3 linked regions of the Caenorhabditis elegans genome follow. The protein of the gene in region 1 purifies or fractionates together with the protein of each later gene. This does not show direct contact. Each region holds a gene or a part of one and is shown on either strand. Other genes may lie near its edges.

The links.
Region 2: the proteins of hrde-1 (region 1) and F55F8.2 purify together in Caenorhabditis elegans (affinity purification with mass spectrometry, with the first as the bait; one study listed by BioGRID). This does not show direct contact.
Region 3: the proteins of hrde-1 (region 1) and Y94H6A.5 purify together in Caenorhabditis elegans (affinity purification with mass spectrometry, with the first as the bait; one study listed by BioGRID). This does not show direct contact.

What each region holds. Positions count from the first base shown.
Region 1 is NC_003281.10:4,171,822-4,177,962, reverse strand, and holds hrde-1 (Argonaute protein hrde-1), read left to right. Parts: upstream 1-1,803; 5' UTR 1,804-1,809; coding exon 1,810-1,918; intron 1,919-1,969; coding exon 1,970-2,180; intron 2,181-2,225; coding exon 2,226-3,179; intron 3,180-3,228; coding exon 3,229-3,753; intron 3,754-3,800; coding exon 3,801-4,749; intron 4,750-4,794; coding exon 4,795-4,985; intron 4,986-5,034; coding exon 5,035-5,194; 3' UTR 5,195-5,626; downstream 5,627-6,141. Other genes in the region: utp-11 (putative U3 small nucleolar RNA-associated protein 11), read left to right, coding at 91-297; C16C10.13 (Rab3 GTPase-activating protein catalytic subunit), read right to left, coding at 397-705, 750-1,019, 1,064-1,180; C16C10.4 (putative histone deacetylase complex subunit SAP18), read right to left, coding at 5,898-6,035, 6,136-6,141. UniProt on the Caenorhabditis elegans protein: Argonaute protein which is involved in the endogenous small interfering RNA (endo-siRNA) pathway and is required for RNA-mediated gene silencing (RNAi) in the germline.
Region 2 is NC_003279.8:5,645,853-5,651,618, reverse strand, and holds F55F8.2 (ATP-dependent RNA helicase), read left to right. Parts: upstream 1-1,962; 5' UTR 1,963-1,969; coding exon 1,970-2,125; intron 2,126-2,218; coding exon 2,219-2,583; exon of another isoform or gene 2,584-2,642; coding exon 2,643-3,155; intron 3,156-3,432; coding exon 3,433-3,557; intron 3,558-3,616; coding exon 3,617-3,741; intron 3,742-3,842; coding exon 3,843-4,242; intron 4,243-4,465; coding exon 4,466-4,575; intron 4,576-4,618; coding exon 4,619-4,960; intron 4,961-5,042; coding exon 5,043-5,147; 3' UTR 5,148-5,250; downstream 5,251-5,766. Other genes in the region: F55F8.3 (Periodic tryptophan protein 2 homolog), read left to right, coding at 1-340, 399-872, 1,127-1,233, 1,298-1,416, 1,473-1,656; col-53 (Col_cuticle_N domain-containing protein), read right to left, coding at 5,305-5,396, 5,443-5,661.
Region 3 is NC_003282.8:2,700,962-2,705,548, reverse strand, and holds the start of Y94H6A.5 (RNA helicase), read left to right. Parts: upstream 1-1,571; 5' UTR 1,572-1,578; coding exon 1,579-1,731; intron 1,732-2,047; coding exon 2,048-2,239; intron 2,240-2,493; coding exon 2,494-2,585; intron 2,586-3,504; exon of another isoform or gene 3,505-3,574; intron 3,575-3,598; coding exon 3,599-3,728; intron 3,729-4,587. Other genes in the region: ubc-8 (UBC core domain-containing protein), read left to right, coding at 413-633.

The DNA of each region.
Region 1 (6,141 bases):
AAGATCTAAAACAAATGAAAAGAACAAGTCAGAGTAAGTACCCCTTAAATATCTAAAACAAATGAAAAATCTTAATAAAAATTATTCCAGAAAGCCGATCGTGTACGTCGTACTCGATACAACGAGCTCATCAAACGCGTGGAACGTGCCAAGGAGCTTCAAGTGGTCGTGGACAAGCTGGAATTGAAGAAACAATTGGCAGCTGGAAGCAAATCAGAATTGAAGCCTCAAAAGGTCAAAAAGGCGAAAGCTATGCGAGCAGCCGTCTACAAATGGACCTATGAACGAAAGAAGTAGTTAATTTCTTTTTTTTTAATCCCATTTTATTCTGAATCTTCTTTTTTGTTAATTTTTGCTGTTGAGTTTACATTTTATGCGTTATTGAAATTGTTGACTTTATTGAAACATTGAATTTAAAGAGATCTCTGTCGTTGTCACTGGAAACGGGACCATCGTCTCTCTCGTCAAATCAATCGTCTTTAAAACAAGCGGAGTCAGTGAAGAGGTCTGAGTGAAGATGAGCACGGCACACATGTTGGAATCGCAGCAACAATCTTTTTGCTGATACAATATCTTGTGTTGCACTAGCATCGATCGCAGTTCGCATTTTGGCATCACTGACACAGGTTGTTGACACTTTTGAACATCTGGGAATGGATGAGACATGATGAAGACGGAATCGAATTGACTGAATTTTTCAGGGTCCTAAACAGATAACTGGATTTTCAGAATTTTGTTGAAAAGGATACCGTATCCTTGACACATCCACTGTATATTCTTCCTGGCACCAGTGCCACCACATCAGTCATATTCATAGAATGACATGGATAATTCTCTGGATCATTTAGAAATTTTACTGCATTTGATGATCGAGAAAATATTGATCCAGTATATGGAAGACTTGTCGTGTTCTGTTCCCTATACACTGCTAACAAACCACACAGAAAACGAGGAAATAAATCTGGAAGATCTAGAAACGAGTGGTGTTCTAGACAAGTCTTGACCAGTTCTGATAGGCTCTGAAACTCTTTTCTAGACTTGAAAAATGACTTATTAAGCTCACAATTTTATCTTCAAGTTCTCGAATTGTCCAATCGGGTTCATATTTCTTTTTATCTTCTAGATAATTTAGAAACTTAATTTCCGTCGCATTCGTCTTCACTTCAGCTAACGGATTCATCAAAATATGAGCAATTGATTCATTAAGGAATGGCTGGAGCAGCCTGTTTGGAATTATCGGCTTTTCGAGCAACGCCTTTTCCTTCAGAATTTTAGGCATATGTTTGAGATGAATTATGTCGCATTTTATTGAATTTGCCAGAAAAGAGACGAAAAAGCAGAAAACTTGAAAAACCAGCATCGTTTTGATTGTAGAAATGAATTAAATAATTAATATTTATTGAAGCATAACAAATTAATTTTTTAAAAATATTGTTTTCTATTATTTTATTTGAAATGTTCAGAATAGTCGTTAAGTTTTTGAAAACTAATAAAATTCGATTTCTAGACGTGAAATTTTTCGAAGAGATCACAATGCAAGCGCGCTCTATTGTTACAACGCATGTGGCGCCACGATTTGAACTTTTGTACCGCCACGGATGTGTTTTCTCGAATTTTCTGGCCTAAAATTTATTTATTTTCATTTCATTTCTCTCCTTGCGTTTTTTCTCATTTTACTTGAAAATCTCAATCAGGACGGTAAAGCTTTTGTTTCATTTACTTTTTCTTAGTAAATTTCACTGTTTTATCTCAATTACATCTGAAATTCGCATCGTTTTTTCGTTTCATCGTTTCTTATTTCAGTCAAACATGGCCGACTTGCTCGACAAAATTATGGGAAGTTCGTCTTCCAACAGGATTCCCAAACGAGACAACCGAATGAATCAGGACAAGGACGAACCGACGTCAAAGAGAAGTGGTTCGTTTAGAATCAACATTATGCCTAGGAGTTCAAAATTGTCTTTTTCAGCACCAATGTTCTCTACTCCGAAGTCAACAACACCAATTGGACGGGACTCTTTCGCAACGATGGACACGATGAATGTTCAGATGAACATGTTTCCAGTGGACATCAAGGATATGCCCCACAAGATCCAACGCTTTCAAGTTGACGTCATCGTCTGTTCCAGCAACGGAAAACAGATCAATGCCAACCTTGGAGTTTTGGCGGCCAAGGGAGAGTAAGTATTTAATTTGTATAACCGCTCAAAATCAGTACTTTCCAGTGTCAATTCCCATAACCGTCGCTTGGCACAATACTACATCATGAGAACAGTACATGACAAGCTTCTGGTGAAGTTCAGTGGAAAGAGTCACCACTTCCTTGCTTACGACTGCGCTGCGACTCTCTATCTTCCGGAGGGAGTCTACACTGGTGACGATCAAGAAGAAGTCACGTTGACGATCGATGACTTCCCGAAGGAAGAATGGAAATTCGTGTCGAAGTTGTCTCGCAGAAAGGACGATTCTTACCTTGTTGTTCTCAAACCTGCCGGATTTGTGTACACCCAAGGAGAAGTTGCCCAGGAGGAGGCTAATCGTATGGAGTTGACTCGTATTATCGAAATCGTCACTTCACAAAAGCTCAACAATGAGGATTACTTACAATTTGGTAATGCCACATTCCCACGTCTTTCTCCGCCACACTCGGAACCTGATGCTATTTCGGAGATCCGCTCAGGTTTTGCGAAAGTATCTCGTCTATCGCAAAACGGAGGTGGCAAAGCTTTCATGACGGTTGATACGAAGATTTCTCCATTTTACAAGGATACATCAGTTATCAAGTTTTCAAGCAACAAGTTATCCGAAATGAAAGGTGGAGGCGGTGGAAGAGGCGGATACGGAAGAAGTGACTCGCGAGACTCTCGTGGTGGATACCGTGGCGGCCGTTCCGACTCGAGAGACTTTCGTGGTGTCTATGGAAACCGAGGTGGCAACGACAGGTACCGAGATGAAAGCAGAGGACGTCGCGACATGTACGATTCCCGTCGAGACAGTGGTTCTTCAAATGGAGCGGACTACTCTCCGAGTGATGCTGCTGAGTTGGAACACGCTTTTGGCGAAAGAGGAAACACGAAGCGATGCATTGAAGAAGCACTCAAAGGATTGGACGTGGAATGCACTCACTTGAAGGGTAACCTTATTCGCGTATCCTCGATTGCCGAGAACAATGCTGAGAAGTAAGTTATTCGATAGTTATCATCAGCGTGATAACAATTTGTTTTGTAGCACTTCGTTCATGATGAAGGACGACAAGGGAGAACGCGAGGTCACCGTGGCGGAATATTTCCTGTTGCAGTACAACATCAAGCTGAAATATCCGAGACTTCCTCTCGTCGTCTCAAAAAGATTCAAACATGAATCTTTCTTCCCAATGGAGTTGCTTCGAATTGCTCCAGGCCAGCGGATCAAGGTCAACAAGATGAGCCCGACAGTACAATCGGCGATGACAGGAAGAAATGCGTCTATGCCACAGCATCATGTGAAGTTGGTTCAAGATATTCTCCGCGACAACTTGAAGCTTGAACAAAATAAGTACATGGATGCTTTCGGAATCAAACTGATGTCGACTGAGCCAATCCAAATGACTGCGAAGCTCCTCCCACCAGCTCAAATCAAGTTCAAGGGCCAGACTTACATGCCTGACATGAGCCGTCCAGCGTTCCGCACACAGGACAAGTTTGTCGAACCAGCACGGATCAGAAAAATTGGTATTGTTGTCTTTGACAACTGTATCCAAATGAGACAGGCCGAGTAAGTCGAACGTTGTTTTCTTCTGCTTTATAATATTCTATTTTCAGAGATTTCTGCGACAAGCTGTCCAATTTCTGTCGTGACAATGGAATCACGGTCGAAAAGGACTCGCGAGATTGGTCCATCCGTGAATTGAACTCCAGTGATTCCGTTGCTATCCAAAATCTGATGAAGAAATGGCTCGATGATAGAGTGGACATTCTTGTTGGAATAGCAAGGGAGAAGAAGCCGGATGTTCACGACATACTCAAATACTTTGAGGAATCGATTGGCCTGCAAACAATCCAATTGTGTCAACAGACTGTCGATAAAATGATGGGAGGTCAAGGTGGACGCCAAACGATTGACAACGTCATGAGAAAGTTCAACCTCAAGTGTGGTGGAACCAACTTCTTCGTCGAGATCCCGAATGCTGTGCGTGGAAAAGCAGTGTGCTCAAACAATGAAACATTGAGAAAGAAACTTCTCGAACATGTACAATTCATCGGATTCGAGATTTCTCATGGCGCATCACGCACTTTGTTCGATCGCAGTAGATCACAAATGGATGGTGAGCCATCAGTTGTTGGAGTCTCGTATTCCCTGACCAACTCGACGCAGCTCGGAGGCTTCACATACCTTCAAACCCAAAAGGAGTACAAACTTCAAAAACTTGATGAATTCTTCCCAAAGTGTGTCAGATCGTACAAGGAGCATTCGAAGACACTCCCAACAAGAATCGTCATCTATCGTGTTGGTGCTGGAGAAGGAAACTTCAATCGTGTTAAGGAAGAAGTCGAAGAGATGCGACGAACATTTGACAAGATTCAGCCCGGATACCGTCCACATCTCGTGGTGATCATCGCACAAAGAGCTTCACATGCTCGCGTTTTTCCATCATGTATCAGTGGCAACAGAGCGACGGATCAGAACATCCCATCTGGAACATGTGTCGAGAATGTCCTGACATCCTACGGATACGACGAGTTCATTTTGTCTTCACAGACGCCGCTTATTGTAAGTTGTTCATTAGTTAATTTATTAAATGAAAGTTTCTTTTAGGGTACCGTTCGTCCGTGCAAGTACACGATCCTTGTCAATGATGCCAAATGGTCTAAAAACGAGCTCATGCACTTGACGTACTTCCGCGCATTCGGTCATCAAGTGTCCTACCAGCCACCATCGGTTCCAGATGTTCTTTATGCGGCAGAAAATCTGGCTAAACGAGGACGCAACAATTACAAAATTCATCAGTAATAGTTTATTTTCCTAAAAATCTTTATCAAAAACAAATGTTTCCAGGCGTTACGTGAATTTGCAAGCAGTTGAGAACCGCATCATCAAAGACCATTCGGAACTCATCAACGAAGACATGCGAGAAGAACTGGCGGCAGCCATTGTTGATGAGATGTCCGTTGCAATGAACGGAATGACCATTCCGAAGCGAAACTTCTGGGCGTAATCCCGAGATTCTCTCTTTTATTGTCACGTATTCACCCCCTTTACATATTACCAACATTTTTTATCCACTACCCTATACCTACTCTCTATACAAGTACTTAAATTCCCATGCTTTTGTTTTTCTGAACATTCTTTATTACATTTTTCCCCATAATTGTATCGTATTCCCCTTTATGTTTTTATAATTTCAACTAAGAATCCTTTTGTAATTTAATCTAGAGTAGAGTACATTGACACATAGTTTGAATAGTAGATACTCCTGTTTTACCTGCCTTTTTTTCTGTGCGAATTTCCTCCAACTTTCTTATTAGGAGTTTTCGAAGGCGAAAGAAACTTCCAATTAGAACGTTTTTGGAAATTTCGATTTTCAATAATCTTACTTGCTCTACCCCCCGTCCATTATCATTTATTAAGCAATAAATTATTCGAGAAGAAATTTTAGTTTTCGCTGAAAGCAGTTTGATCGCGATCATTTTTCCGATTTTTGCATAATCACAAAACAAAACTTTTTTAAAATTAAATAGCTTGCAATTTTGACCAGTAAATGTGAAAGTAAACTTTGTTGTAAATTGTTAAGTATGTTGAACAATTGTAAAGGAAAACATGATTTACGCAGAATATTACATTGCACGTTATAAAAAAAAGAATCGACACATTAATAAATACAGAAGAGTATCATTGAATTTTAACACACAGTTAGGCGTCTAGCGAATCGGACTACGTTGGCGTTGACGATGATCGAAACGGTCTCCCTGCTCCCGGTTATTGAAACGACGTCCTTGACTTGGCAAGGAAATCGCGACGTCGACGAAATCACCGACTTCGAATTTGCATTGTTGTAGCTGAAAAACAAAGTTCAATCAAAACGAATTTAATATTGGAGATATTATTTCCGAATTCAAATAAAATTCTAATGGTTCCGTGGTGTCAAAAATCACATACAGTTTT
Region 2 (5,766 bases), on another chromosome or scaffold:
GGTTCATGGGATAGGACGATCAAAATGTGGACAATTGTCGATTCACAAGCAGAAACTGTCGAAGTATCACATGAAGCACTCGATGTCAAATTTTCTCCGGCTGGAGATGAGATTGCTGTTCTTACATCGGATGGAGTCATCACTTTCTTTGAAGCAAAGGAAATGATTAATTTGGGAAGTATTGATACTAAATTGGATACTGATCCGGCTCGTGGATCACGTGACACAATTACAAGACAATCGGCGGCCAAAACAAAAACATTCACGAGAATTCGATTCTCTCCCGATGGAAATTTATTATTGGCTGGTGGAGAATCGAATAATTTCTGTCTTTACTCAGGTAATAGATTTTTTTAAAAGTTTTTAGAATTTTCAAACAATTTAATATTTTTTTTCAGTTCCGGAGCGTATGATTCTGAAGAAATGGCAAATAACAGCTAATCGAAGTCTCGATGGAGTTATTTTGGATTTCAATCGACGAAACTTCACAGAATTTGGAAATATGCAACTAGTGGATACTTCTGATGAAGAGGATGAGCTGGAGCCAAACAACAAAATGTCAATTAAGCTTCCTGGAACAAAAAATTTTGATTTGGGAGAACGAAGAGCTCGTCCTGAAGTGAATATTTATGAAGTTACATATTGTCCGACTGGAAGAAGATTCGCAATTTGTTCAACAGAAGGTGTTTCTGTATATTCATTGGATACTATTTCAATGTTTGATCCATTCCAATTAGACAGTCAAACTAATGCAGAGGTTATCAAAAGAGCTGTATGGAATAATGATTATTCAACTGCTATTATGGCTTCTCTTCGACTGAATAATGCACAATATATCACTGAATGTTTGGAATCAACTAGCATCTCACAGAGTACGTTGTTTTTATTATATTTTTTGTTGCGAAAAATTAGTTCCAAAAACGAATTTAAGGGTGGGATTTTTTGCTCAAAGTGACAGAAAATAATCCCAATATTCCAAATATAACTGTTTGAAAATTTATAGAATTTTTCTAAATTTTTTTTTATTTAAAAAATATACTGTATTTTCTGTCATTTTTGGCAAATTATTGATACTCTACAGACTCCCAAATAAAAATAAACGGAAAGCTAGAAAAGCAATTTTCAGTTCCACTTGTCGCCAGCTCACTACCGTTGATGTATGCAGAGCGTCTTCTAAAATGGATGGTTGAAGGAAATGTTATGTCATCGACACGACATGTTCATTTTTATATGGTTAGTGTGGACTTTCTAAAAATCAATTTAATCTGGAAAACATTATTATTTTTTTGATTTTTAGATTTGGCTCCGAGCGATTCTGCAACATCACGGAATGCAATTGAAAGGACGTGCTGACGTGGCAACTCTGACTGGTATCCAACAAATTGTGGCTCATCATCAACAACATATCACTAAATTGTTGGTTTTTGTCTTTAATTATTTACTGAGCACCGTTTTAAACTCCCGATTTTCAGGGCAAACCAGAACAAGTTCGCATTAAATTGGCTCGTGAAAATTCGGCAATCGAAGAAATCTGTGAAAAAGGAAGAAGAGGAAGAGGAGGATGTTAGTGATGAATCAGACGATGAAGATATTGAAGATGAAAGTGCTGGAAGCGACGATGAAGATTCTGATGATTCAGTGGAAATTATTGAATAAGCTCTACAATCTACAATTTTTAAAGAATACGTCTTATATCAAAATTTCCAGACTATTCACACTTTTTATACATATTTGTTGTTGATTTGTTACTTTCTTTTCGAATATTGTTTTTTTTTCTCAGTTTTTGTTATTTTATTCCCATTTTCTGTTATGATTTCCCAGTTGTTCTAGTTTTTTTTTTGATAAAGTAAATGTGTTTTGATTTCCGTATTTTGTTATGTTATGTTTGAGTTATTAATATCTCGATAATTCTATTTTTGCATCTTTTTTCTTTCAATTTTTAATAACTAATTTTAATTTCAGAATTAAAATGACAAATATTTCAATTCCTGGTAATTGGCAGACATGTGATGTTGAAGCAATGGATGGTGACTTCGATGATAACATGCTTCAATTCTTGGGATCTTTTGAAGAAGTTCTTCCGGAAGGTGTTGAGGTTGAGACTAAAAAAGGAATGAAGAAAAAGGTAAGTTATAGTAAAAATGTTATATTCACGAATAGTTCTAAAATAAATTTGGGACTCCTTTTTTTTTAACTAAAACTATTCATTCATATTCAGAACAAACCGAAAAAGGTTGAAAACACTGAACGCCCAGAAGAAGATGCGAAGTGTGTAGAGGAGCGACGTCTAGCCAAAAAATTGAGAAGAAAAGAACAAATGGCTGCAAATCGTAAACAGAAGAAGGAACGGTTGGCAAAAAGAAAACAGAAAGAAGCTGAGAGTTCTGCTAAAAAATCTGAAAATGCGACAGAAACTACTACCGAAAAGCCGAAAGAGCAGAAGAAAAGAAAAGGAGGAGAGAATGGAGATACAGGAAAACCAAAGAAATCCAAAAAAGAAGCATCTAAGAAAACAGATATTTCAGCTTGGAAACAATTTTATTTTCTTCCTAATGAAGTTCTTGAAGCTATTGAGCAGATGGGGTGAGCACAATTTACCATTAATTTGTTTAGATTTTCACAATGTTAATTTTTTTTTTCAGATTTTCTGAGCCGACTGAAATTCAATCAGCAGTGCTCCCCGCTGCTGTTCGTGATCGACAAGATGTTCTAGGTGCTGCTGAAACTGGAAGTGGAAAGACATTGGCATTTGGAATTCCATTGGTTGCACGTCTACTCGAATCGTCAGATGATTCACAAGAAACTGAATCTACAGAAGTTCGAGGTCCACGTGCATTGATTGTTGCTCCAACTCGTGAACTTGTCATTCAAATCATGAAACATATTAATGCTCTCATTTCCACAACTCAACTAATAGCCACATCAATTGTTGGTGGATTGGCTCAAGTGAAGCAAGAGAGAATTATTTCCCAGCAGAGACCAGATATTGTCGTTGCAACACCTGGACGATTGTGGGCCATGATGCAAGAAGCTGAAACTGGAGAGTTTTTAGCTGAATGGAAAGATTTGAAGTGTTTAGTTGTGGACGAAACTGATCGGATGGTTGAGGAAGGATATTTTGCCGAGTTGACACATATTCTCAATAAGATTCATGAGTGAGTATTTAGTAATTAGTATTTTTGAAAAGGAAATATATAGTATCAAAATTGAGAGAAATTTTACCCGTTAAATGTTGCAATTTTCTTGCAAAAATACGGTATCCTGTCTCGGCACGAATGAAACTTTGCAGCTACCGTACCCACAAGAAATGTTTCTAAATTATTTATGATTTCTAATTTTAAATTTTCTTTGGGAAGAAGATTCAACGTCAAAAATCACAGAATCTCGCGATTGGACAATATATTCCCAGAAAAAAACTCAAAATATTTTCAGAGAATCAGAAAAGGAAAAGCTTCAAACTCTCGTCTTCTCTGCGACACTTACATTTGCAAAAGCACAAGATGTAGCCGAAGAAGAAAAGAAAAAAGCGAAAGAGCTCAGTTCACAGCAAAAAATTCGTGAGTAACTTTAGAACCAAATCAGAAATTCCAAATTTTTCTAAAATAAAATCTTTCAGAACGTCTTATCAAACTGACGGGTCTTCGTGAGAATAAGCATAAAGTTATTGATTTAACACGTCAAATGGGTACAGCTGGATGCCTTGTTGAAGCACGTATCAATTGTGGAAATCTTTTGGAAAAGGTTAGATTTAGAAATTGTTTGGATGAGTTCTTTGAAAATATTTTTCAAAGTTTTTTTTCTTGAAAATAACACATTTTTAATTGTAAGAGAACTTTTTTTAGGATACTTCACTCGTATACCTACTCACAAGATACCCTGGACGTACAATTGTCTTTGTGAATTCAATTGATGCAGCTCGTAGACTATACAGTGTACTTAAATCAGTGAACATTGATCCAATGATTCTTCATGCGAAAATGATTCAAAAACAACGTCTGAAGAACTTGGAAAAGTTTTCTGAATCCAAAAACGCCGTTTTATTGGCAACTGATGTCGCAGCACGTGGATTGGATATTCAAGGAATCGATCATGTTATCCATTATCAAGTTCCCAAAAAAGTAGAAATTTATATTCATCGAAGTGGAAGAACTGCACGTGCATCACACAGAGGATTGACTGTTGTATTGGTTGATCCACCAAGTAGACAATTTTATATGAAGTTGTGCAAAGGATTAAATAGAAGTATGTGGAGAAAAATATTGAAGATAAATGTGATGCTCTGGCGTCGTTGAAAAATTGTCAATTTTTTTTGTTTTTTTTTCTGAGAAAATCGAAGAAAGTAATGTTTAGAATATGACAAAATAATTCAATTTTGTATTAATGAGAAAAATATAAGACAACACATAATTTTACATTAAAATTATGAAATTTTTACGATCATTATCTAATTAATGTTATCTTTCAGTGCAAGATCTGAACGTTTTCCCAATCGACTTTGAACCTTTGATGAATGCGATCAAGAAACGTGTGCGACTAGCTTCAGAGATTGACTCTCTTGGATTCCGTTGCAAAAAGGTATCGAACTACTTTCTAATAGCTTTTTATATTGAAATTTCAGATCAAAATGTCAGAGTCTTGGTTTGAAAAAGCTGCCCGTGCCGCAGATTTAGACTATGATGAGACGCGTCATCGAGAAATGGATGGATTGAATCTTGAAGTTGACACAATGGTCCAGAAAAGTCGCCAACTTCAAGCACAACTACGCACGGAGCTTTCCCTTCCACTTCCACGTGTTGATGGATCGGATTCGATGAAGACAAAGTACATTACTCCTGAAATTGTTGCCCGTTTGAGATCAGTTGGTGATAATGCAATTGACGTATTAAACCAGAAAATTGATGAGACAAAGGAATGGAAGAGAAAGAGCCGAAAAGCTACAAGAGAAGATGAAATGAACTCGGTAGGCTCTTTATTTCCTTAATATCCTCTGTTAGAGACAGATAAATATAGATTTTTAAAAAAGTATTTATAACTTTTTTCAGATGAAAAAATCGTTGAAATCGTCTCAAAAGAACAAGGAACGCCTCGCCGAGAAGAAAAAAAAGGAGAAAGCTGCCAAAGTGACTAAACTATCGGAAACTGATTGAAATTGTCCGATATCCCTAAATTGTTTTTGTTGACATTTAATTTTGTTTTCTGTTCTGTTATGATTTTATTTGTTTTTATTTTAATATGAAGTCGTTTGTGATTTCAAGATAAGTATGTTTATATAGAAGAAAATATAAGTCAAGGCATCAGAAAGAATCAATGTTTCTTATTCCGTTTATTCACATAGTATCCAGGGCTAACACGGGGCGGTGGACATGATTCACATGGCCATGGTTCTCCTTTTGGACCTGAAAAGTTGAGCATTATCGAAATTGTAACTTCTCTGTAACTAACCAATTGGCCCAAAAGTTCCCACAGGTCCTCTTTTTCCAATTTCTCCTTTTAATCCTTGATATCCACGTTCACCTCGTTCACCAGGTAATCCATCTTCTCCGTCTCTTCCAGTTCTTCCTTTCTCACCTGGTGGCCCACGTGGCCCTGTTTCTCCATCTTTTCCAGGTGGTCCATCAGACACATAGATATGTCCTGGTTCACCTGGTTCTCCGGCTGGTCCTATAAATTTATTAGTTTGGTGTTATTAATAACAACTTATTACTATTGTCATTATGTGAAACCGTGAGGCACACGATAACCTTCTAAGTTGGTCTCGCCACAACT
Region 3 (4,587 bases), on another chromosome or scaffold:
AGGATCTCAATTTTCGCGAAAAAAATTTTTTTAGAGAAAAAAATGTTGATGGCCGAACTTTTGAATTTCTAGGCCACCTACTCGAAACTGGCCGTTTTATTTTATTTGGAGCTTTTTTTAATTCAAATTATTAAAGTATATTTTAATCCTTTTTTTTAATTCGGCAAAAAACAATCGGGGACTAGTTTTTCACTTGGTGGACTAGAAATTCTAAAAGTTAGGCCATCATTTTTTTTTTTGCTTTTTTTTTGCTTTCTGCGTACTTTTTACGGTTCTAAGTGGTTTTTGAGGTTGAAATTGCAAAATTTTAAGAGTTTGAGCGAATTTTTCCATGTTTTTAGCAATTTTTTGATCAAAAAAATGGAATTTTGCCGATTTTTATCGATTTTTTTAAATTTTTTTTTATTTTCAGAATACGTAATGCGATTTGCAAGTGAACACCGTGCCATAGAAGGATGCTCCCCGGGAAACGCCTATTCCATATCCTCAACACCCTCGGAGCACTACGATGGTCACCCGCAGGACGATGACGACGAAAGTTGTAGTTCAATGTCGGAATTTGATGAAAGTGAAGTGAACTTTGATGATTTTGATGCTGACGACACAATGACTGTAGATCAAATGGAATTTTAATGGGGGAAATATTCGGAAAACTTTTATTTTCCGCTTAAAATTCTTTTTTTTTTGTTCAATTTGTCCGATATTTCCCGTGAAAATTAAGTCAAAACTAGTTATAAATTGAGATTTTTGAGCAAAACTCACACTAGAATGATGCAAAAATTGATGATGGCCGAACTTTTCTGAAATTTTTTTTTTCTAGGCCACCAAGTGCAAATATTTATTTTCATCAATCTAGGGGTAAAAATGCTCGAAAATTTCAAATTTTCCACTCAAATCTCTTCATTTTTCCCATAAATCACCAATTTTTTTGACCTCAAGCCCCCCCCCCCCCCCAAATTTTCTCTTCAATTCCCCCCGAAATTCAGGATTTTTTTGTATTTTTTCCCAGTTTCTTCCTTCTTCGTGTGTCCATATCTTCGTTGCCCCCGTTTTTTTTCTCGTTGTCCTTACTCATTTCCTATGAGCACCTGTGTAGAATGTGTAGAAAATTGTAAATATTATCGATTTTTCCTTTTCGCGGACTGCCTTTCCCTGTTTTTTTCGCCCAGGTTTTCCTGTATTTTTGTGAATTTGTTTTTTTTTGGAATTTCTCGCTAGATTTTGTGTACATAATAAAGCTTTTTCATGAGAAAAACAGGCATTTTCAGAAAATTATTAATTACACACAGAAAAGCTGAATTTCCCCTTGGGGTACGGTCAACATTGCCTCTGACGCGCATTGTACGCAAACACGCCACCCCTCCAGAGTGCACACAATGCAGCGGAACCTACGCGCAAATGATTTTTTCAACGAAAAATTAAATTTTAAATTCAATTTCCGCCAATTTCCAACCGAATTTCTCGATTTTTCTTGTAAATTTTGATTTAAAATTTTAAAAATCACCTATTTCTTCATTATTCGTCAATTTCCGCGACAAATTTCCCGCTAAAAATCGATATTTTCGTTTCAGGGTAAAAATGGCGTCGGACGACGAGGAAGACTTCACTCAGCTGCAAATTAATCAGAATAGAAAGCATAAAAAGGCCGGAGGATGGCAACAAATCGGTTTGGACCATTCGGTTTACAAGGCGATCGAGAAAAAAGGCTTTAATCAGCCCACGCCGATTCAGGCAAGGATTTTCGCGAAAAATTAAGGAAATAATGGCTTTTTGTAGTGGGAAATGGAGTGAAAAATTGTGAAATTTTTGATTAAAAAGATTAGAAATTCTTTAAAATCAAAATTTCCCGCGAAAAATTTAAATTTTTGAAATCACTTAAATTTGACATAAAAATCGATTTCTCCACTATTTTACCAATAAAATAGTTTAAAATTTCAATTTTTAAAGCGAAATAAGCTTGAAAATCTGGTTTTTAGCCCTCAAAAACCCGCAAAATCCCATTTTCCCCAGAAAAAAGCCGGAAACCCCCAAATTTTCCAATTTTCAGCGCAAAACAATCCCGTGTATTATGGATGGAAAAGATGTGGTGGCCATGTCACGTACAGGATCCGGAAAAACCGCCGCTTTTGTGATTCCGATGCTCCAAAAGCTGAAAAGAAGAGATACGACTGGAATTCGGGCTCTTATGGTGTCTCCGACACGAGAATTGGCTCTTCAGACGTTTAAAGTCGTCAAAGAGGTGCGAAAATTGATGAAAATCGAGGAATTGGCTGGGAAATCTGGATTTTTACCGCGAAAAAATGCTCAAAAACTTTGTATTTTCACTTGAAAACTGATTTTTTTTCCGTTAAAAATCATTAAATCGGCTAAAAATTCATTTTTTTTCTGCCTAAAAATGTTGCTTTTTCACTTAAAAAGTGTGAATTTATGCCAAAAATCTCAAAAATTTAGCTGAAAACCCCGAATTTTCACTCAAAATTGCTCATTTTTCAGCTCGGCCGCTTCACAGGACTCCGTTGTGCTTGCCTTGTCGGAGGAGATCAAATTGAGGAGCAATTCTCCACAATTCACGAGAATCCCGACATGTTAGTGAGGATTTTTTCGACGAAAAAACGCCGAAATTTCGGTCATTTTGGCCCAAAAATCGAACAAATCCGATGGTTTTGCGCAGAAAATTGGACGGTTTTCAGCGTTTTTGACCCACAAAATGCAAAAAATTGCAATTTTTTAGGATTTATAGCTGAGAAGCCTAAAAATCCAAATTTTAAGCTTAAAAATCCAAATTTCAAGCCTAAAAATCCAAATTTGAAGCCTAGAAATTCAAATTTTAAGCCTAAAAATCCAAATTTTAAGCTTAGAAATCCAAATTTTAAGCTTCAAAATCCAAATTTTAGGCTTAAAAATGCAAATTTTAAGCTTAAAAATCCAAACTTTAAGCCTAAAAATCCAAATTTTAAGCTCAAATTTCCAAATTTTAAGCCAAAAAATCCAAATTTTAAGCCAAAAAATCCAAATTTAAAGCCTAAAAATCCAAATTTAAAGCCTAAAAATCCATATTTTAAGCTTAAAAATCCATATTTTAAGCTTAAAAATCCAAATTTTAAGCCTAAAAATCCAAATTTAAAGCCAAAAAATCCAAATTTAAAGCCTAAAAATCCAAACTTTAAGCCTAAAAATCCAAATTTTAAGCTTCCAAATCCAATTTTTAAGCTCAAAAATCCAAATTTTAAGCCTAAAAATCCAAATTTAAAGCCAAAAAATCCAAATTTAAAGCCTAAAAATCCAAACTTTAAGCCTAAAAATCCAAATTTTAAGCTTCCAAATCCAATTTTTAAGCTCAAAAATCCAAATTTTAAGCTTAAAAATCTAAATTTTAAGCCTAAAAATCCGAATTTTAAGCCTACAAATCCAGTTTTAAGCCAAAAAATCCAAATTTTAAGCTTAAAAATCTAAATTTTAAGCCTAAAAATCCGAATTTTAAGCCTACAAATCCAGTTTTAAGCCAAAAAATCCAAATTTAAAGCCTAAAAATCCAAATTTAAAGCCTAAAAATCCAATTTTTAAGCCCAAAAAACCCATAAAATCTAAAAATTTGCAGTCTTCTCGCCACTCCTGGCCGCCTTCTTCATGTTATCGTCGAGATGGATCTTCGTCTTTCATATGTTCAATATGTTGTATTTGATGAAGCCGATCGGCTCTTCGAAATGGGTTTTCAGGATCAATTGACGGTAAAAAGGCTGAAAATCTGAAAAATTGGCTGAAAATGCTCAAAAAATTGGATTTTTCGCACAAAAATCGCATTTTTAGCGTTAAAAATGGAATTTTTAAGTGAAAAAATACAGTTTTGACCCCAAAAAATACTGAAAATCATCTAAAAATCAATGTTTTAATCTGCAGTTTTCGCCGGAAAAAATCTTTTTACCTAGAAAAAATCTGGAAATTCGCTCAAAAATCGATATTTTGGCTTAAAAATCCAGTTTTTGGATCAAAAAATATCGAAAAACCACCCAAAAATTGATATTTTAATCAAAAATCCAGTTTTTAAACCAAAAAAAAAACTGGAAATCGCTTTAAAAATCGATATTTTGATCTAAAACCCGAAGTTTTCGCCGAAAAAAATAATTTTTAAACCTCCAAAAAACGAAACAAATTTTTTTTTAATTTTTCGTTTTTTTGGAGGTTTAAAAATTATTTTTTCGGCGAAAACTTCGGGTTTTTAGATCAAAATATCGATTTTTAAAGCGATTCTCCAGTATTTTTTGGTTTAAAAACTGGATTTTTGATTGAAATATCAATTTTTGGGTGATTTTCCAATAATTTTTTATCCAAAAACTGGATTTTTAAGCCAAAATATCGATTTTTGAGCGAATTTCCAGATTTTTTCTAGGTAAAAAGATTTTTTCCGGCGAAAACTGCAGATTAAAACATTGATTTTTAGATGATTTTCAGTATTTTTTGGGGTCAAAACTGTAATTGGGGATTTTCAGTTAGCTTTAAAAATCGATATTTTGATCTCTAAAACCCGAAGTTTTTGCCGAAAAAATAATTTTTAAACCTCCAAAAAACGAAAAAAATACACTTTTCCAG